Linked DNA regions of Rattus norvegicus. The protein of the gene in region 5 interacts with the protein of the main gene of each other region in a pairwise test. Links are inferred from orthologs where the notes say so. Each region holds a gene or a part of one and is shown on either strand. Other genes may lie near its edges. The genes, in order: Clns1a, Tcl1a, Lsm10, Keap1 and Lsm3.

Region 1 (4,273 bases), on a different chromosome or scaffold from region 5:
ATACTCCACTCCCACCTTCTCATTCCTGTCAGTGGACCAATTTTCTAGTCTCACTAATGACAAACTGGCTAAATTTAAAAGCGTTAACACTTGGAACTGGAGACATTGGACCAGCCTCTGAGAATGCCTAATGCAGATGGTTTCACTGCACCCAGGCAGGGTAGCTTACACCTGCCTGTAACGAGTTCCAGCAGATCCAGTGCCCACTTCTGGAGTCATTGGGCAACTGCACTCAATATGTACACAGAGGTTTTTTTGTTGTTGTTTTGTTTTTTTAAATCGTAAGGAAAAAAAAATCTAAAGATACTTCTGTTGAGACGATTCCAAAAAGAAAAAAAAGGAGGGGTGGGGGAAGGAGGATGAAGAGAAAGAGAAGGAAGAGGAGGAAAGACAAAACTCCCATCACATTCTACATGTTATCCAACCTAAACAGCCCTGACCCCATAGACATTACAATTCTACAGCCAAAAAAGGTGGAGTCTAGAGATCAGCTGACTGAATTCCATCCACCAAGTCATTACCAAACTTTAGCTTGTGAATTTAATGGTCTCATCTGTAAAACTGGGTCAGTAATAAAAATGTGTTCATATTGTTTATCATCAGAATAAAACTGAATTGAGCAGGTGTAGTGATGGATGCCCGTAATAGTTCTAGTACCCTAGAGTAGGGTGCATATCGATTATGTATTGGAGGCCAGCATGGGCTACAGAAGGAAGCCCTGTATCTAAAACCACGAACGAATCCATGAAGAAATAAGAGGTAAGGTCCTTATGCTGTGTGTTCTATAAGCCTCGGTTATAGGTTTCTATTTACTAAATCTGTATGTTTTCACTGCACGTATTTTTTGGGGGCCTAGCAAGCTGGGAAGGCAAGGGTTCCAGACCTTTTCCCTGGGCACTGTCTTTTGACTGTCTGGCCGCGCTGCTGATCAATTAATGTAATCTTTTTGTCTTCCTGGCGTGACACGTGGGGATGGGGCACTCGACCTCTCCGGCGACATGGGAACTAAAAGGCCTGGTAAATGGCTGTGTGAACCCAAGAAGAACAGGCCCGACGAGGAGGAAGCAGGGTGCACCCAACCCGGAGATTTTTGACCTCCAGATGAGTGTGGATTTTATTTCTGTGCGTCCTGCTCAGGCAAGGGACTCCAGGGGCCTAGGCCCATTCCCACTTTTTATTGGGAAAGTCTTCGTATTCCTCATACAGCCTCTCTCAGGGTTTTCTGCGACGACCTTGAAGTAGAACCACAGAGAAAACACTCGGTTATTCTAAGCACCCTTACGGGAGCCTGAGAAGGGAACCAGTATCACGTGACAGAAGGCCGGCTCGCTACAGATCTCTGAGTTGCCTAGAACATCCCGTCTCTATGGTCAACTGCACGCGAAATTCCTCGATGAGAAAGTTGTTCTTCCGGAGTACGGCTACTGCTTCCGGGGCAGCTCCCTGCGAACCGGGATTGCGGTGCTCTGCTTTCTTGGTTCCTGTGGAGCAATGCTTTCGCCCGCAATGAGCTTCCTCAAAAGCTTCCCGCCCCCTGGGTCCGCAGATGGACTCCGGCTGCAGCAGCCAGACACCGAAGCTGTGCTGAACGGGAAGGGGCTCGGCACCGGCACGCTTTACATTGCGGAGAGGTAGGTTCCAGGACTCCGGCGCCGGCCTCCTTCGGGGGCGCCTTCCTCCCAGAGGCGCGACCACGGGGTACTACAGGGGGGCGTCGGCCGACGCTGCTGTTATGCGGGCCCGGTGGGATTACCCCCCTCCGGAGCTCAGCTGGCTCTGTTCTCATTAACGACTTGTGCCTGTCTCCTGCAAGCCTGGCGCGTGGTCGCGTTTAGTTTTGAGTCTGCAGAGCCTCGGCTAGTTTTTCGATGGGCCTGGCTTTCTGAATGATCGTGTGAACTAGATGTTTTCCCTGCGTGGAATATGTAGCTCAGAGGAGATTGTGACGGGTTTAGGACGTTTGATTAATGAGCTTGGATTTTCCGCTCCAGATGTGGGTGGGGGAAAAGAGCATCTTCAGGCCCTCGCAGGGCGGAGTCATAACCAGTCGAACCCGACTCCTGGATGTGCAGGTCTTGGAAGGAATTCTTGTATTTGACTACTTGCAGGACTTTGTACTTCCACAATAAGATAGACGAGTCACTAAAATACACACTATACACACGCTCATACCTTCGTGCCCACCCCCATATTTTCCTGTTCTTATTCTCTCTGTCTCCCTCTCTCTGTCTCCCCCCAACCCCACACTCACACCCCCACTCCCGCCTTACTATCTTTCTCATACTTTCTGTCCTTCAGATTCTCTGGTTTACCATCTGCTGTATTTCATTTGTTGGCCCCAGAGGCTACTTTTCTTTTAAGAGCTCAGTGTTATAAATAACATTAGGCCTGCCTAGAAAAATCCAAGCTAGCCTCCTTTATATCACAGTCAGTTGATTAGTAACCTTAAATACATTCAGAATCCCCTCTGTCATGGCACTGGGAAACAAATCTCTTAGGGACCAAGATTATGCCTACTCCAGAGTCCAGGGTATAAAAGTGTAAGAAGTTAATTGTTTAAAGAACTGTTTGGATGGTGGGGCAAAGCCTGGGTGTTTAGACACCGACTGGAAATACATATGTGGGTGGGCACTCAGTTTGTTTGTGTATATATATACACACACACACACACACACACACACACACACACATATATATATATATGTGTATATATATATATATATATATATATATATATATATATATATATATAAAAGGTTTGGAGCAGTCAGGAGGGAGAAAGAAAGGGGGTGGGTAGGAAGAAGTGGTGGAGATTCATTCATTCATTCTGTAAGTTCTGTTACTCTAGAGAACCCTGACTAATACACATGGGTGGAGAGATGGTTTAGCACTTAAGAGCACTAACTACTCTTCCAGAGGTACAGAGTTCAATTTCCAGCAACCACATGGTGTCTCACAGCCATCTGTAATGGGATCTGATGCCGTCTTCTAGTGTGTCTGAAGACAGTTATAGTGTACACACATTAAATAAATAATTAAATAATATTAAAAGACATCAAAAATACACATGGATAAATAAAATGGATCTTGTTTTTCAGAGTTAGGATTATTTCTGTGTTTCACACTCCACATGCAGAAGAAATTGTTGAGATCACCCAAGATCTTACTGTGTGTACCTTCCCTCTCCTAAGTCTTTTTCTCTTTACGCATGCATTTCTCTAAGGTCCTTTGCCTGGCCCTCTCTTCTGGACTATATAGCCTACTCCAGTGAGTATGTTAATACCTACTCTTTTGAATTTCAAATCTGTCTTTTGGACATTTGATCACACTGTGAACCCCAAGAGTGTATACTAGAAAAGTCCTTTTTTTCTAGTCGTGGTGTGGCTCAGCCTTTAGCACACCTCTTTATAGCCTCTGACTGGAAGACAGACACATCCTTAGTATACACCTTGAATCCTAAACAGTGAAGGTCAAGTTAGTTTGTAGAAGGAAGCACCATGATTGAAAGTGATGTCTAAATGAGTGGCAGACAGAGTGATGAATCAGAGAAAGACTTGACCAAATAGGATATGCCCAACTCTCAGGAGAAATGAGAGGAAAGGGAAGCTATTTAAGAGCTGTGCAGAAAAAGGAAGGAGACAGTTTTACTGGAATAGTTGTACAGAGACAGGTTAGAGAAAAAAAAGGGGGGGGGGGGCAGAGAATGAGTAGTCAGATCAGCTAGAGTTAGTTTGATGCCAAGCAGAACAATTCAGGAGAAACTGAGAGAAACCAGATTGAATCAGCCATCTTGGAGAGGAGTTTGCCCCAAAAGAGCCAAGTTAAACCAGTCAGAAAGAATGGGAAAGGGCGAGTTTTTTCAGCAGTAAGTCTAGCCTAGATTAGATTGTACGGAGGCTAGAGTCTTCCAAGACTAGGCCTAGGTTAGCAGCGGAGGAATTAAACTTCAGAGATGACACTTACTGTAGGAGAATAAAAGTTATTTTTATGCTGTTTGATACCAGTCTCCTAAGATACAGACACAGAAGCCCAACTACTCCATACATACACCAACCAAACTCACCCCTCAACATACCAAACTTGCTTCCCTTCACATTCATGTGTTTCTTGCATAAACACCTGGCTTTGTCCACCATCAGAGTTGCTCTATAGATGAAGAGGGTTTTGTTTTTTTAAGCACTTTTATACCCTGAACTCTGCAGTAGGCATATCTTTTGAGAATATGGATTTGTTAGGATGACTTACAGGTGAGGTCTAGTTAATCCAACAATGG
Region 2 (4,220 bases), on a different chromosome or scaffold from region 5:
TACAAGGACCTACGATGTTTTTCTCCGAGCCCTACATGGCAGGCACACCCAAATACAAACACAAAATAATGAATTAAAAATAAGTAATTGGGCTGGAGAGATGGCTCAGCGGTTAAGAGCACCCGACTGCTCTTCCAGAGGTCATGAGTTCAATTCCCAGCAACCACATGGTGGCTCACAACCATCTATAAAGAGATCTGGTGCCCTCTTCTGGTGGGTCTGAAGACAGCTACAGTGTACTTGTATATAATAAATGAATAAATCTTTAAAAAAAAAATAAGTAATTATCCTCCTGCTAAGGCTGCACTCACCCAGAACTTCCACACCAAGCTTATTCCAAAAGTCTTCATCTTTCTACGAAGTTACCTGGGTTTGGAGACAGTCATCTACAGGGAAATGGGCACAAAAGCAGCTAGTCTGAATTCTGAAGGCCAAGGTCTGCGCTTGAAGGGCTTAAGTCTTTTCTTTGTTTCTTTTTCCGGTTAATCTGAACCCACCAGGCTGACCTCAGGCCATTTTGACACTTCTGGGGGATTGACCTTCCGAAGACCACAAATGGCTTCCTCCGTGAGTCCTCAGTGAGGCCAAGGCTCAGATGCTAGCTGAAGGGCTGTTTGAAGCATCCAGCCCAGAGTTGGGTTTTCCATGTTTTCCATTAATTTCTTAATTGCCTTAATGGGCAGGCGTTACTGTAAAATAATGAAAGTTGGTTTTCCTTATTTGTTTACAACGAGACAGTTTTGGTTGAGCAACTCAGAGACTTTCCAAATCCATTGATCTTGGGTGTAGGGAGGGTTTCTTTTTAAGTTTGGGTCTGGACTGATGCATTCTCTAAGTCGGAGGACAAAGACAGTAAACCCATGTTTTCAAAAGTATGTTTTGCAAGACTTATTAGAAGACCACAGCCTCATCAGAGCCATGGAAAAAGTCATGAGCGGAAGAGGGAGGGGACTGAACTTTGCAAAGGAAACTGCCTGTGACACCCAAAAGGACTGGCTGAAGGTGATGGAGAACCGGACTGGTTTCTGATCCCAGGAGATATGTAGATGGACCTCACTCTGGGTGTTCTGCCATGGGGGTGTGTGTGGCTTGAGCAGTCACACAAAGTAGCTAGGACCGTGGGGTCTCACCATAAAGGACGCAAAGGGCTGTTTTTCCTGACAGGTCATGGATACCTTTCCGGTGGCCGGGTGTACCTGGAGAGAAGCAACATCTCCTGGGGGCCTTGAAGAACCCTAGGTCTGATGGGTCAGGTCTGCAAACGTAGACCTGGTGGAAGTCCACTTGAGTGTCCTGCATACCATCCTTGTGGTTCGCCCCACCCACACTACGCTGCCCCGCCCCGCCCCGCCTCGCTCCAGGGGGCACAGGCCCACACCTGGTGGTGATAAATAGCAAGTTTCTTATGCTCTCTGCTTAGGAAGTCGCTTTATCACGGACTGGCATTGCAATTTTTTGCTTCTTGCTCCGACCGGATGCCATGGCTAACCAGCTGGCATACAGGCCAGAGACACCCCCACACCCCGACCGCCTGTGGCTCTGGGAGAAGCACGTGTACTTGGATGAATTTCGTCGCAGCTGGTTGCCGATAGTCATCAAGGTACCAACCGCCTTGGGGCTAGCAGGTCGGGCAGCAGGGGTATACCCTGTCTGGGCTTGGGAGTCCTGGTAACAGGAGACCAGAGTACAGCGGGTCCCTTGTGCCTGAAACAGGAGGACTAGGGAAACCCCAGATGAGTCGGGCCTTGTGGGCCTGCCTGGAGGAGGGTGGGGGCACCCCGAGTTCAGTGAACAAGCCCCTCTCACACATTGCCTGGGGTGTGTGATTATGATTTGGGGTGAAACAAGGCTTCCCTAAACCATAAAATTGGGTAGCCAGTAGTATCCACGTTGGTAATAAGACTTAACTTTGTTTTGCGTGTGGAGTCCTCGGCATGGGTCTTAATGAACATTGGTGCTTTCAAAAGAAATCTCTTCTAGAGGTACTTTCCAGCAGAAAGTATTCCACTTGTAAAGCCAAGAGAAGCTATAAAAGCAAAATTAAACTGCTGAGACGTTGCGTGGTACGCCAGGGCCTGAGAACTGGCTCCACTCCGGCAAAGTTGGGGATTGTGAGCCTTGGGAGTGACTAGTAGATGGTGGGGCTTCCTGGCAGACTTGGGGTGCTGCTAGTAAATGGTGGAGCCACAGTTCTGGGCTCTTAAATTTACATTCTTGCTGTCATTTTACAACGCTAACTTTACATATATCTAGTTTTTTTTTTTTTAAACATTAAGTCAGATGTGTGAAGACAACATGGGTGGCTATTTCTTGTTAATATCCGGTTAATGACTAGCTTTTCATGCAAACCGTGAGCCAACGAGTGTTCCAGAGGTGTGGTAGATGCTGTCTGAACAGGAGGAGCCTGGTAGCGAACTCCAAGGCAGGGTTTATTTCCCATGACTGAAGAAGCCGTGTATGTGTGCTTTAATAAGGAAACAGGATAATTTGTAACAGTGGTTAGATTGTTGACTCAGGGGCTGTGAATGGTGGAGCTTACACACCTGGCACCACAATCTGACTTAACAGATTCAACTGATCTCGTCGTCCGCAGATCATTACACAGGAGTGGTCTCACGTTGGGGGAAAAGTGCACTTGTTAAACACCTGAGAGTGCTTAGTGTAAATCCCAAACACAGGTCTGCACTGAGGGCATGCAGGGAGTATGGTAGGAGCCCTATTCTTGGGAAGGAGGTGCAGTGGGGAATGGGGTAACCAAAGTAATGATTAGGCTGGCAGATGAGTCCTGTGGGGGAAGAAAGTAGGCATGGGGGTTGGGGGCGGGGGAAGTGAGTTGTGCTGTGGAGAGGGGGCGTCAGCACACTGTGAACTCACAGACTGTGGTCGCCTGTCACATTTTGAGTCGTCTTGTTTCAAATTGCTTTCTCTTCCCCTGCACTGCTGACGAGCAAACCCAGGGCTCTGTGCAGAACAGACGAGAACTCTACTGCACAGCCACAGCCCAGCCCTTTTGTACAGGTCTTCAGTTTTGAGACTTGGTCTTAGCTGCTTAGGTTGACCTTAAGCTCCCTTTGTATCCCAGGTAGGCCTTGGACTTAGGATCCATCCTCCTGCCTCAGCTTATTGAGTAGTAGGCATTGCAGGCCTGTGCTGTTTGGTCCCACCAGGTCTTAACTGGTCTGCCTTGTATGGTTTGCTTGTACTGGGTGTGTGTGTGTGTGTGTGTGTGTGTGTGTGTTGGGGGAAGATGCTTTGTGTGTTTAGGTGGTGAATTTTCCGTTTTGTTTTTTCCATCCCAAATCGGTGGATAAAACTCATTTTCAGGAGCTGGTGAGGTGGCTGAGACCAGGTTTCTCATTGTCTTAGGGTTCTCTAGAGCCATAGAACTTACGGGAGAATTGGTCAATGACTTAGTCTGTAATCCAACTCTCCAACCATGGTCAGTAGCAGCTGTGAATGGAAGTTCAAGGTTCTAGTGGTGGCTCAGTGCTACAAGGCAGGCAGACAAAAAAAGAGACCCTCCGTTCTTCCAGTGTCCTTATGTAAATCTCCAGCAGAAGGGGTGTCCCAGATTAATGGTTGTGTACTCCCATGCCTGGGTCAGGTACTTGTTTTGTCCCAGATGACCTTGAACTCAGAGATCTCCTTGCCTTAAGCTCCTGGGATACATAGCCACTGTGCCTCAAGATCCAGGTTAGAAACTTGTATCTCCCAGCCTCAAGATCAGGATCAAAGGTGAGCCTTCCAATTCTGGATTGTAGTTCATTCCAGATACAGTCAAGTTGACAACCAGGAATAGCCACTACGGCCACCAAACCCAATGACCTGAGTTTGATTTCCCAGGATGCACATGATGGACAGGAACTGACTACATGTGGTGCCTATGTGGTATTCTCCCTTGATTTCAGCACTTGGGAGGCAGAGATAGGTGGAGCTCTGTAAGTCTGAGGCTAGCTTGGCCTGTAGAGCAAGTTCCAAACTGGCAAGAATTAGATATGATGAGGTCCTGCTTCAAAACAATGAATTTTAACTCCTGTCAGTTAATAAAACTGTATGTTTCATCACTACTCTAACGTGGTTTTTATGTAGTGTTTGTTCTTTATAGACCTACATTTGAACAGAGGGCTGCCCAAAAGGGAGCTCGCCCTTCACAGATTTGGTGAGGCTTGCTGCGTAGACTGTGAGAACCCCACAAACCAGGCATCACATTGTGGCTGGGA
Region 3 (3,672 bases), on a different chromosome or scaffold from region 5:
CACTTAGCATGGACTAGCCTCAAACTCATGATCCTCCTGCCTCTGCCTCCTTCATTAAATCCTACTGTGTGCACCACTACTCCTGGTCTCCTTTGGTTTTTTGAGGCAGGGATTTCACCCTTAGCCGAGGCTGATCCTTGTTCTTTAGCCTCCTGAAAGCCAGGATTATACATGTGAAACACTATGCCTGGCTGAGATCAATTTCTTATTAGCTGAACTCTCCAGCCTGAGAGGAGGACCAGGGCATCCAGACTCTGGGCTTTAGTGACTAGCAGGAAAATGATAGTCTCAAGGACTCTCCAACAGAAAGGCCACTTTCCGTTAGATTTTTTCGTAATAATCTGGGAAACAGGGCCACAATCCAGACCAAGTAAATCCTGGTGTGCTCTCCACCTGCACTCTGCTCCTACACAGGAGCCAGAAGCCCAGTACACACCAGGCAGGGCATCAGGCAGAGACCCAGAGCATTAGAGCATGTGTATCGCAGGACAAGGACTACAAGTCCCAGGAGTTTGGTTTTATGAGAAAAGAAACAAATGACAAGAGAAATGGGATGTTAGAGGTGATTCACTCCAAACACTCTCAAGTAATCCTCACTGGCAGAGTTAACAACTCCTTGATGGATGGGGTCAATCAGTGAATGGAGATTCCAGATACAAATGATCAAAAAGAGGGATTGTCACCTACCCCAAGGCCACCAGCAGAAGGAATTCTGGGTCCCAAGGTGTGTCTGAAAAGTGGAACCCTATGAAAGGCAGCTGTGATGTGTCTATAAGACACCAGGTCATTGGTGGGGAAGGATGGACGGGAGTTGGCTCAGAACACTGGAGGTCCCTGAGGTGGTGCTGGAATTTGAATGAGGACACAGTCTCATGGCCTTTTGGAGGGGAACTCTCGACGACCTTGACCCTTGCCACCAAAGTTGCGCACACGGTGGATGATCTGTAGCTGCTGCTCGATTGTGGCAGTGATGTTCACACCGTCTGGGATATGGACATATCGGACATTACGACCTGTCACGAAAAGGTCATCCAACTCAACCTGATGCCCCCAGCGGTCGGTGTAGGTGACATTGGCCAGACGGATGTTCATGAAAGCATCAACGTTGTCGATGCGTCCTCGGGCCACACTCTCATCTCGAAGGTCCACAGTGGTTATTTGTCCCTGGAGGCCTTGCAACAGGATGATCAGGCTGTTCTCAGAGATGGTTCGCTCCTTCACAGAGTGGCTCAGTGCCATTTTTCCACATTGGTTGGCTGCTCACTGTGGGCAGGAACACACAAATAGATGGTAACTTACCTTTGCAAAGCCCTGAAACTCCACACTAGTGCTCCGGACCCCTCACTGCACTGGATACACCTGGGGAAACTTTTGCCTGGCCTATGCATACCACGCAACCCACGCATCCCAGAGAGATTCACTTGCCTGGGAAGGAGAGGTCCAGATTGTTTTGGTTTTGTTGTTGTTTTTAAAGACAGGGTCTTACTATATCTCCCTGAGTAGGCTAGAACTTGATATGTAAACAAGTGTGGCCTGGAACTCGCAGAGATCAACCTGTCTCTTCTCACAGGTGCTGAGATTCAAGGTGTGTGCTATTTTTAAATGATTTTGGGACAGGGTTTCTCTAGGTTGCCCTGGCTGTTCTGGAACTCTCTATGTAGACCAGGCTGGTCTCAAACTCATCAAGATCCTCCTACCTCTGCCTCTCTAGTGCTGGGATTTAAAGGCGTGTGCTACTATGTTTAGTTTATACCTTTTTTTTTTTAAAGGCACCCCTGATAATTTTAATGTGCCAATCGGCTTGAGAACCACTACTGTAAATTGTAATTTATGTATGTCCTCTGCCAAGCGCTTGTTAATATGCAATCTAGCCAAACATGATGGCGGCACACTTATACCATTAAAGTCTGAGGCAGGAGAAGCACCCTAAACGCCAAACCGGCCTGAACTATATCGTGAACTCCGGGTCAATCTGGATTATGGAATGTTTCCAAAACAAAACAAGCCAAGCCTAGCCAACCAAGATGCATGCATTTAAGCCCAGCTCTCAGGAGGCAGAGGCAGGTGGATCTCCGAGTTACAGACCGACACCCTGTCTTAAAACAAAATCCAAAAGGACAGTCTTTGAGATCTCCAGGCAGGCCCTGACTTTAGCTCCGGTTCTGCTGCTTCCAGGAAGGGAGGCCTGGGGCTTGCCATTAGCGGTCAATCCGGGAAAGTCGGGTGCCTAGTGCGTCCCTTTCCTCACCGCGCGTAAGGGGTTTGGGAAGAAGAGTCCGCAGCCAGTGCGCCAAGGGAAGAGGCCGCCCGGGTCCCAGCGAACCCTAGTCCCCACACTCTACTGCCCGACCCACCGCGTGATGCCTTCCGCCTTCCGCGCGCTACGCCGCCAAAACCCGCCTGTGTCTAGGGGAACACCCACGGAGGCTCAGAGAAGCCATGGCAACCGCGGGAGACCCAGAGCATCAGAGCATGCGCATCGCAGGACACGGACTACAAGTCCCAGGAGGCCGCGCGCCTCACGTCCACTCCCCTTCTCTACCTAGTTTTCCACCTTTGTAGGCTTCCACCTTTGGGGCTTGGAGCTGTGTCCCCTGTTGGCCTTCTGAGCTGATGGCGCTGCGTGAGAAAGAGCATCTGGAAAAAAAAAAATAAGGGAAAAAAAAGTTAAACGTTCTTCACCTGATTAAAATTCAGCGAATGTGGCCGGACGTGGTGGCAAACTCCCTTAATTCCAGCGACTCCAGAGACAGAGGCGCTCTGTGAGTTGGAGAGACCAGGAGAGCAAGGATAGCTAACCCTGTCTCAAAGAGGAAAACACAGGGCTATGGAGAGAGTGCTAAACTTTAGCAATTAAGACCACACACGGTCTGGAGAGATGGCTCAGCGTTAAGAGCACTGACTGCTCTTCCGGAGTTCCTGAGTTCAATTCCCAGCAACCACATGGTGGCTCACAACCATCCATAATGAAGTCCGATGAAATAAATCTTTAAAAAAAAATACTGTATATTATTGCAGATGGCCTAAATCTGATTCCCAGCTCACAAGTGCCTGTAATTAACAGTTAAAAATAAAATCTAGAGCTGGGCATGGAAGCACACATCTTTAATCCTAGCACTCGGAGACAGAGGCAGGTGGATCGCTGTACTTCAAAGCCAGCCTTGGTCTACAAAGGTCAGCCAGAAGCCCTGTCTTGAAAAAAAAAAAACAAAACAAAACAAACAAACAAAAAAAAAAAACAAATCTAGTAAGGTTTAATTTTAACTTATCTGTTTCTGTGTTCGCGTGTAATGGCATACAATGTGTGAGTGGTGGCTGCTCTCAGAAGGCAGCATCAATTCCATGGGACTACAGGTACAGCTGGTGAAAACTGAACTCAGGTCCTCTGAAAGAGTGTATGTGTTCTTAACACCTGAGCCATCTCTCCTGCTCCTAAAAATAACAAATAACATCTTTATTTAAAGTGTGTGTGTGTGTGTGTGTGTGTGTGTGTGTGTGTGTGTGTGTGTGTGTGTGTGTTAGCCAGGAGGGCTAGAAGAGGGTGTCTGATCCCCTGGAACTGGAGTTATAGTTGTGAGCCCATTGTGAGCTACTTGCTGGATGCGGGTACTGGGAACCCGATTCGGGTTCTCTGCAAGAGCTGGATGTATTGTTCTTTCATTTTTTAGGAGG
Region 4 (4,209 bases), on a different chromosome or scaffold from region 5:
TGGAGAGATAGCCCAGCAGTTAAGAGCACTGGCTGCTCTCCCAGAGGACCTGGGTTCAATTCCCAGAACCCACATGGCAGTTCACAACCATCTGTAACTCCCGTTCCAAGGGATCCAGTATGCACCTTATACAGACATACATGCAGGCAAAACAGCAATGAACATGAAATTAAAAATAAATTGAAAGAAAAAACCCAGAATACACATTTGTAATCCCATTGGAGAGATGGAGACAGGAGACAGAGTTCAAAGCTAGCCTGGGCTAAAAATGACATCTTGTCTGCACCAGTCAGTCAAATAATATTAAATTTTTTTATTTATCTTTATTTTATGTGTATGGGTGTTTTGTCTTCATGGTTGTGGTGCTTGTGGAAGCCAGAAAAGGGTATGGGATCCCCTGTAACTGGAGTTATAGGCGTTCATTTTGACCCTAATACCAGTTCCGGGAATTGAACCTGGGTCCTCTGAAAGAGCTGTCAGTGCTGTAATCACTGAGCCATCTCTCCAGCACCAATAATAACTTTATTTTCCAAAATTAATTTATGTGTGCATGTGGAGGTTGGAGGACAACTTGGAGGAGTAAGTTTTTTACTACCACGTGAGAAACAGGGATGGAACTTAGTTGCCAGAATTGGCCAAATCTTATAGGTCAAGAAAATAATTTTCTCTCATAAATGCCTTTGTAGCAAATAAGAATCTCTTATCATATATATATATATATATATATATATATATAATGAGAAATGCAAAGAAAGGCAATTCTGGGCATTCCAACTCTCCAACACCCTCAGATGAATGCCACACCTCTCCTCATGAAAAAATGACTACAGAGAGAGGAGAGAGGAAAGTGGGCTGCTGTTGCACCTTGCAGGCTCCACATAGGGGAAGAGAATCAGTTTCTGCCAGTCATCCCCCGACCTCTACACACAAGCATACACACAAATAAATTAATGTACACAAAGCCCTGCGTGGTGTCACAGCCTTTAAACCCCCACCCCCCCACTCCCCCTCACCCCGGCACGCAGGAGGCAGAGCGAGAGGCAGAGGCCAGCCAGGGCTATGTAATGAGGCCATTCTCAAAAAAGAAGTTATAAGGCTGGGGTGCTGGCTCAGCAGTTAAGAGTACCTGTTGCTCTTGCAGAAGACCAGAGTTCAATTCCCCCTCTCCACAGGGTGGATAACCTGTAACTTTAGGGGGCACTGCACGCCCACGGGGCACAGACATACACGCAGGCAAAACACCCACACACATAAAGTAAAATGCGAATTGAAATAGAAACCATTAAAAAGTTATTTTAAAGGAAGATCTGTATCTCAACCAGGTACATAGGTCTGGCTGGGCCGGGTAGGGTGTGGGAGGGTCCGCTGGGGCAGGTTCAGCTAGAGGCGTACTGGACAGCCTAACCCGGAGGCAGGCTCCTAGGGCCGCCCTGACCCACGCCCTGCTCCCTCCGCCCGGCACCTGCAGGAAGGGCTGGAACCGCCTCTGCGTGCCCGCCGCCTGTTTCCGCCCTCCCGCTCCTCCCACGCGTGCCGCCCGGGACCCCGCAGCACCGCTGCCCCGATCCGAGGCCCCCTGGCTGCCCTCGGCTCCTCCCGGAAGCGCGGCGCGTGGCGGCCCGGCGGTGCGGATTGGACGCGTGGCACCAACAGAGACACCCGGGGGGGTGGGACGGAGGTGAGCGAGCGCCCGCGGAGGATGCGGTGGGGAGCCAGCTCCGGGCGCCGCCCGCGGTCGCGCGTGGGGACGTGCACGCGGTGGGGGGAAGCGCGTGACCCCTCCAAGTGCGCACCCGCGCCCAGCCCGTGCACCCGCGTAGGGTGGTGGCCGAGGCGAGTCGAGGGTAGGGGTCGCCCGCGGCCGGCGCCCCGGGACTCTTATTGTGACAGGGTGGTGCGCTGTGCTTAGTCACCGTGACCCGCGCGGCGGAGGCGGAGGCAGAGCGCGGCCATGGCGGGGTGAGTGCGCCGCTCCGGGCCGCGGCCCGGGACCAGGCCCTGCGGGCTCTCCAGGCGTCAGGGCTGCGCCTCCGAGCGTTAGGGAGGCCGCTGGAGCAGGCACCGGGTACCGGGTGGCTGCTGCTCAGCCCTCTGCGCAATGCCAGGCCCGAGCTCCGGCAGTGTGGTCACGCGTGACAGTCGCTCACTTACTGGGGCCCCTGGAGCATTTCATCGTCGTCCCCCCCATGGTGACCTAGTAGACATAACACTGGGGGACGCGACTCCAGGCTGAGCCCCAGAACCTGGGGAGCCAGCTGCAGGCCCTCTCTGTGTCCCCACATCTCCTTTGAAAGCATAACTCCTGTCCTGGCCCCAGGTCTCCAAGGGTCTCCTGAATCCCTCACCGTGGGTGTTCCAGAGGCTGCACACTCTGCCCAGGGCCTTGGTGCTCGCCTAGTGTTTTCTATACAGACCTTGCTTTATTTTCAGGCCTTTTCTGTCTTCCTGCTGTGTCCCTGGAGCTCAGAACAGTTGCAAGTATAAATGGCAGGCTCTGTAAATTTTGGTGAGGTGTTGAAGAAAGGGATTTGACATGTCGGATGAAGGGAAGGGAAGCATGGCTGGAACTGAGTGAAGAGGTCTAGAAGGGGGTGTGGAGTTTTACAGGCCATTGAGGAGCTGGGTTTCCACTCTTGGGCTCTGGGATAGGTATTGGGTGATTCTGAGCAGGAAAAGGAACGGCCGGTGATTTGAGAAGAAGTCAGTTTGAATGGAGCCGGGTGTGTCCAGTTCACTTGGCTTGACAAAAACTGCTCTAGAAATCATTGCTTAGTCTAAAAAAAAAAAAAAAAATTAAAGCTTGGCTAGATATGGTGACACAAACTGTAGTCCCAGTACACGGGAGGAAACAGCAAACAGCCTTGTTTACATAGTGAGTTTGAAGCCAGCCTAGGCTAAGACCCTGTCTCAAAAGAAAACAAGAAACAAACAAACAAACAAAAAAAAAATGTGGCAGGGTCTGGCCTAATCCAGCCCTGTACTCTTCCCTCCTTCCAGGCCCCTAATCGCTAGTGGTGGAACTGTATCTTGTCATCAGGAACCCCATGCAGCCCGAACCCAAGCCTAGCGGGGCTCCCCGCAGCAGCCAGTTCCTGCCCCTGTGGTCAAAGTGCCCGGAGGGGGCAGGGGACGCGGTGATGTATGCATCCACGGAGTGCAAGGCGGAGGTGACGCCCTCGCAGGATGGTAACCGAACCTTCAGTTACACACTAGAGGATCACACCAAGCAGGCTTTTGGCATCATGAACGAGCTTCGGCTGAGCCAGCAGCTCTGTGACGTGACCCTGCAGGTCAAATATGAGGACATCCCAGCTGCCCAATTCATGGCCCACAAAGTGGTGCTGGCCTCCTCCAGCCCAGTCTTTAAAGCTATGTTCACCAACGGGCTTCGGGAGCAGGGCATGGAGGTGGTGTCCATTGAAGGCATCCACCCCAAGGTCATGGAGAGGCTAATTGAGTTCGCCTACACGGCCTCCATCTCCGTGGGCGAGAAGTGTGTGCTGCATGTGATGAACGGGGCAGTCATGTACCAGATTGACAGCGTGGTCCGAGCCTGCAGCGACTTCCTCGTGCAGCAGCTGGACCCCAGCAACGCCATCGGCATCGCCAACTTCGCCGAGCAGATCGGCTGCACGGAACTGCACCAGCGTGCTCGGGAGTATATCTACATGCACTTCGGGGAGGTGAGTAAGACCTGGGGTTTGGGCTCAGTTGTCACAAGAAGTGGGATGGGCCAGCATAGTGCTCTCCGAGACTGGAGCGGCCATTCAAGGCTGGAGGAAGATTTCTTTTTTTCTTCCTCCTTTTCTCCATAGGGCCTCATGTAGCTCAGGCTGGCCCTAATCTGGTTGTGTATCTGAGGATGGTTTTAAGTTCCTGATTCCTGTGTCAGTCTCCCAAGTACTGTAGTCACAGACTCCCAGTATACTTAAGAGATACTGGAATGGAACGCAGAGCCCCAGGACTTGGTTTTACTTTTGTTTTTAAATCTTTTTTTAAAAATTCATTTACCTTTATTTTGTGTGCATTATTGTTTTGCCTGAATGTTTTTCTATGTGAAAGGGTCAGGTCTTGGAGTTACAGACAGTTGTGAGCTGCCACGTGGGTGCTGGGATTTGAACTCTGGTCCTCAGGAAGAGCAGTCAGTAGTGCGCTCAACTGCTGAGTCATCTCTCCAGCACCTTAGATTTTATTTTTTTTGGCAGACTT
Region 5 (3,958 bases):
GTAGATGCTATACTTGGAGAGCATAAACCTAAGGAGGTTTTAAGTAAGAAGACAGAGGCATAAGGTTTTGTTGTGGTTCTACATCCATTTGGCTGCTAGATGATGGGGCAGACAGATGAGAGGAAGCCAGAAAAGAAGCAACCTGAAGTTCATTTCCTTAACGATATGGACAAGATCTCTAGCTATAAAATTAAGAGAATTAAGTACAGATTTCGGTGGTTCCAAAGCTGAACTGGACTTGATGCCGAACTGGCAGTTAAGAAGAGATGTGTTCTAACGTGTGTTTTAAAAGGGATGATTTATTGAAATAGAACAACTGGGGGGATGGATATGTTTAAGGGGAAAGATGGATCTTGTTCAAGATCTAGATTAAAAACTCATTCCAGCCAGGGCGTAATGGTGCATGCCGGTTAATCCCAGCACTAGGGAGGCAGAGACAGGCGGATCTCTGAGTTTGAGGCCAACCTGGTCTACAAAGCAAGTTCCAGGACAGCTAGGTCTACACAGAGAAACCCTGTCTGGAAAAACAAAGCAAAAAACAAGAGTAACAGAAAGCGCATCCTAAAAACCCGGAGCTGGAGTTACACTGGATGGCAGTCAGGAACTTGATGAGAGAGATCTCTCACTACAGGTCTCCCTCGGTCCTGGTTTTTGGCATCTCCTGAGATACCAGGCAATTGCGAAGCTTTCTCCAGCTCGGCCTTCAACACTTGCTATGGGGCTGAACTTGGTACTAAAGGTTAACCGAGGGGTTAAGACAGATAGCAGAGGCCCTCGGGGGCTGGAGGGGGGACGCATCGGGCCGTAAAGACCTTGCGGTAGACACAGATCCGCTCCGCCGCCCGCCCCAGCCTCCGCCACCATCGCCTGACATGCTGCAGACTTGGCCTCTCACCCGCATCGCTCTCCTCAGGCCGGGTTGCTTTGTTGTCCTCGGCTTCCTGGCCGCGCTTCCTCCGCTTTCCGCCTGCGGTACGCTTTCGGGCCATGCTAGCCAGAGGCGTTCCTCCGGACAACCACGCAGGACTGCCGAAAGTCTCCGCGTGCCGGCTCCGCCCCGAGGCGTGCCATGCCTGGCCGCACCCCCAGCTCCGGATAGGACCACGCCCTCCAAAAAATCCCGCCCCCATGCAAACTACAAGGGCGCGAAGGGACAAAAATAGTGTAGTTCGCCTTCCAGTGCGTGGCGGCCCAACGTTTCCTAGTGTCTGCTCTCGCGAGAGGTGGAAAGGGCGCAGCGTTTGAAACATGGCGGACGACGTAGATCAGGTAAGTTTGTCCTGGGGCGTCCGAAGAGGAAGTGCTTTCGTTTCTTAGCCGGGCTTGCTTTTTCCACGCTTCCCGTGGAATGGCCCTTTTCTTTTTCCCGAGTTCCCACGGCCTTCCGCAGCCAGGCCTGCTCCTAAAACTTCCGTAGGCCCAGAGTTTCTCAACCCGCCCATCTGCCCATCTCGCTCGTCGTCGCCCTTTCTCTGTAGAATGCAGACGGCTGTGGATATCCCATCTATGGGAGATACGGTCGGGATTCCGACAGAAAGAGTACTGTAGCGGTAGGACACCAGCATAGTAATACGTGTAAGCACCTGGCACGCAGGCAGTGGCTCACTTGGAGTGTGTTACGAGGGGAGGTCAGATAAAAGGTGCAGTTATGTGAGATAGAGAAACTGCTAGAGATGTAGTATATAGAAAACAAGCAAAGACCTGGCACACAGTGTTTCTCTTCAGAGCATGTTGTTTTAAATGTGTTCTTTATTTAAAATGTTCGTTCCACAACTAGAATATAAGTTCCTTAATAGGGATTTATTGGGGCTTAGTGGTTAAGAGCACTTTTGGCTCTTGTAGACAACCCTGGCTGTGTACCAACACCCACATGTTGCTTTCACTGCTTAACAGTGATTGAAACACCACACTACCTCAGTGTTCCATTACTAAGCCTTCTTCTCTCATCAGCAACAGACCACCAATACCGTAGAGGAGCCCCTGGATCTTATAAGACTCAGCTTGGATGAGCGAATTTATGTGAAAATGAGAAATGACCGAGAGCTTCGAGGCAGATTACATGTAAGTCTGTTAAGTTATCTCAAAACCAGATGCTCCCCTGTCATCCCTTCCTACCTCCTTACAGATAAGAACTGCAACATAAACTTATTTTTTTTAATTATACAATGACTTTTGGGAGTTGGAAATTCCTTTATTGGCTTTTAAAATATTTTTTCCTTAACCAGAATGTTTTTTAGAGAGGGATGGGACTCCTGTGAGACCAGAACAAGGCATCTGATTGCCCAGAGCTGGAGTTACAGACAGTTGTGAGCTGCCTGGTGTGGTTGCTAGGAGCCAAACTCAGGTCCTCTGCAGGGATAACCAGTGCTCTTAATTTGAGCATCTCTACAACCCTGTAGAACACTTTTGTTTTCTTCAGCTTTGTCCTCTGTTTATTTAAAATGAATAAACTTCTTTTTGTTTTAGACAAGGTCATACTATGTAACCCAGCTAGCTTCAAACTCAAGATCCTCCTGCCTCTCTCTCCTTAGAACTGGGATTTTAGACATGCACTACCACTCTTGCCATTGTCCTATGTTTTTAAAAGTTATTGGACAGGGTGTTTTGGTTTTCGACATATAAAACTCTCCTTTGACATGAAAAAAACTAAATAGCAGGCCAGAGATCGTTCACCTAGTATGTGGCAAAGCCCCTAGCACTACCAAAAAAAAATTAAACACCATAGAAATCTAAAGGTGAAATTCCATTTTCTCTGCACTATTCAAAGTTGGCTACATAGTCGTCCACATCTTTTCTGCATGTGTATATGCTGTCTGTGTTTGAAGGAGGATCCTAGTGAGGTACGGTGGCATGTGCCCATAATTCCAGTACTTAGATGACTGAGGTAGGAAGGTCATATATTTGAGGCCAGTCTGGACTACATAGTGAAACCTTGTCTGGTATGTACACACCTTTTCCACACGGTTTCTGTGTGGAATGATTATGCAGCTGACACAGTTGCCCAGGATTCTCTATAAGGCTTCGGTCACTTTTTTGTTTTTCCAGCCTTAAAACTGCATTGTGCACTTTTACATATATTGCTTGTGCACATTTATGATGCCTGTGGAATTGGTCCCTTGAAGTAGCATTATTGTGCACTTAGGGTTTTGTCTCTTCTTGTTACTTTCCTCAGAGCTGTTGGTTTACAACGGGAATTGGAATTAAGTCTTTTTAGTTCAGGCTTAGAAATAGCCCCATACTGGCACCCACAGAGCCAGTGTGGGGGACAGTCTCAGTCTTTCTTCTATGAAGAAATTTTTAGTTCTTTCATGAAACCTGAGGATAAAGAACCTCTGTGACTTGGAAGGAAATTGGACTGTTGATCTACAAGCCAGCATTAGGGAAACAGCGGTGCCAGTTTGGTGAGAAACATGGGATGGAGCTAAATTGAAAGGCTCTTCGGCACATGGAATGACCCCAGGCTAGACCATCGCCTTTAGTTTGGAGGTGTCTGAAGCTCTTACCTCTGTAGTAAGTGGCCCAGGTTTCTGTTTCCTCCCTGCTCTCCAGCTGAACATTTTGCTCATTTGTGTAGCTGCCAAGCAGTTCCTTCTCAATGTGGCGCCTGGCTATTTTTAATCTTGATATGAGCAGGCAAAAGCACTTAGCACTTTGTTAGAAGAACATATAAGTGGGTTCTGAACAAGCCCCAGGAGGTTTGCTGTTAGTAAAAGGGATGAACTTTGGAGGTTGCACTAAACACTGTGGTTGCAATCCTTCCTGCCTGAGCCCACAGATGCCAAAGCATGTTAAGCTCTGGACAAGTTATAAATGGGCAAAGTAAAGGTGGGACAGATGATTGGTGGGTAAAGTTTGAGTGCTGAAGTTTAGATCCCTAACACCTGTGGAGACCCCAGAACAAGCTCTTGCGTTCAACTTAAAGACACTACCTTAATACATACGGTGGGGAGCAACTGAG

The links.
Region 1: the proteins of Lsm3 (region 5) and Clns1a interact in binary tests that used the Homo sapiens proteins (3 or more experiments, as listed by UniProt). The link is inferred for Rattus norvegicus from reciprocal best matches to the Homo sapiens genes LSM3 and CLNS1A.
Region 2: the proteins of Lsm3 (region 5) and Tcl1a interact in binary tests that used the Homo sapiens proteins (3 or more experiments, as listed by UniProt). The two-hybrid records come from large-scale screens. The link is inferred for Rattus norvegicus from reciprocal best matches to the Homo sapiens genes LSM3 and TCL1A.
Region 3: the proteins of Lsm3 (region 5) and Lsm10 interact in binary tests that used the Homo sapiens proteins (3 or more experiments, as listed by UniProt). The link is inferred for Rattus norvegicus from reciprocal best matches to the Homo sapiens genes LSM3 and LSM10.
Region 4: the proteins of Lsm3 (region 5) and Keap1 interact in binary tests that used the Homo sapiens proteins (3 or more experiments, as listed by UniProt). The two-hybrid records come from large-scale screens. The link is inferred for Rattus norvegicus from reciprocal best matches to the Homo sapiens genes LSM3 and KEAP1.

The regions. Positions count from the first base shown.
Region 1 is NC_086019.1:161,429,203-161,433,475, forward strand, and holds the start of Clns1a (methylosome subunit pICln), read left to right. Parts: upstream 1-1,466; 5' UTR 1,467-1,491; coding exon 1,492-1,631; intron 1,632-4,273. UniProt on the Homo sapiens protein: Involved in both the assembly of spliceosomal snRNPs and the methylation of Sm proteins.
Region 2 is NC_086024.1:129,892,956-129,897,175, reverse strand, and holds the start of Tcl1a (T-cell leukemia/lymphoma protein 1A), read left to right. Parts: upstream 1-1,419; 5' UTR 1,420-1,480; coding exon 1,481-1,600; intron 1,601-4,220. UniProt on the Homo sapiens protein: Enhances the phosphorylation and activation of AKT1, AKT2 and AKT3. Promotes nuclear translocation of AKT1. Enhances cell proliferation, stabilizes mitochondrial membrane potential and promotes cell survival.
Region 3 is NC_086023.1:143,657,222-143,660,893, reverse strand, and holds Lsm10 (U7 snRNA-associated Sm-like protein LSm10), read right to left. Parts: upstream 2,339-3,672; 5' UTR 2,249-2,338; exon of another isoform or gene 1,422-2,248; intron 1,264-1,421; 5' UTR 1,240-1,263; coding exon 871-1,239; 3' UTR 510-870; downstream 1-509. UniProt on the Homo sapiens protein: Appears to function in the U7 snRNP complex that is involved in histone 3'-end processing. Increases U7 snRNA levels but not histone 3'-end pre-mRNA processing activity, when overexpressed. Required for cell cycle progression from G1 to S phases.
Region 4 is NC_086026.1:28,051,236-28,055,444, reverse strand, and holds the start of Keap1 (kelch-like ECH-associated protein 1), read left to right. Parts: upstream 1-1,402; 5' UTR 1,403-1,678; intron 1,679-1,819; exon of another isoform or gene 1,820-1,959; intron 1,960-2,997; 5' UTR 2,998-3,044; coding exon 3,045-3,683; intron 3,684-4,209. UniProt on the Homo sapiens protein: Substrate-specific adapter of a BCR (BTB-CUL3-RBX1) E3 ubiquitin ligase complex that regulates the response to oxidative stress by targeting NFE2L2/NRF2 for ubiquitination.
Region 5 is NC_086022.1:125,577,037-125,580,994, forward strand, and holds the start of Lsm3 (U6 snRNA-associated Sm-like protein LSm3), read left to right. Parts: upstream 1-1,148; 5' UTR 1,149-1,248; coding exon 1,249-1,269; intron 1,270-1,950; coding exon 1,951-2,061; intron 2,062-3,958. Other genes in the region: Xpc (DNA repair protein complementing XP-C cells), read right to left, coding at 896-989. UniProt on the Homo sapiens protein: Plays a role in pre-mRNA splicing as component of the U4/U6-U5 tri-snRNP complex that is involved in spliceosome assembly, and as component of the precatalytic spliceosome (spliceosome B complex).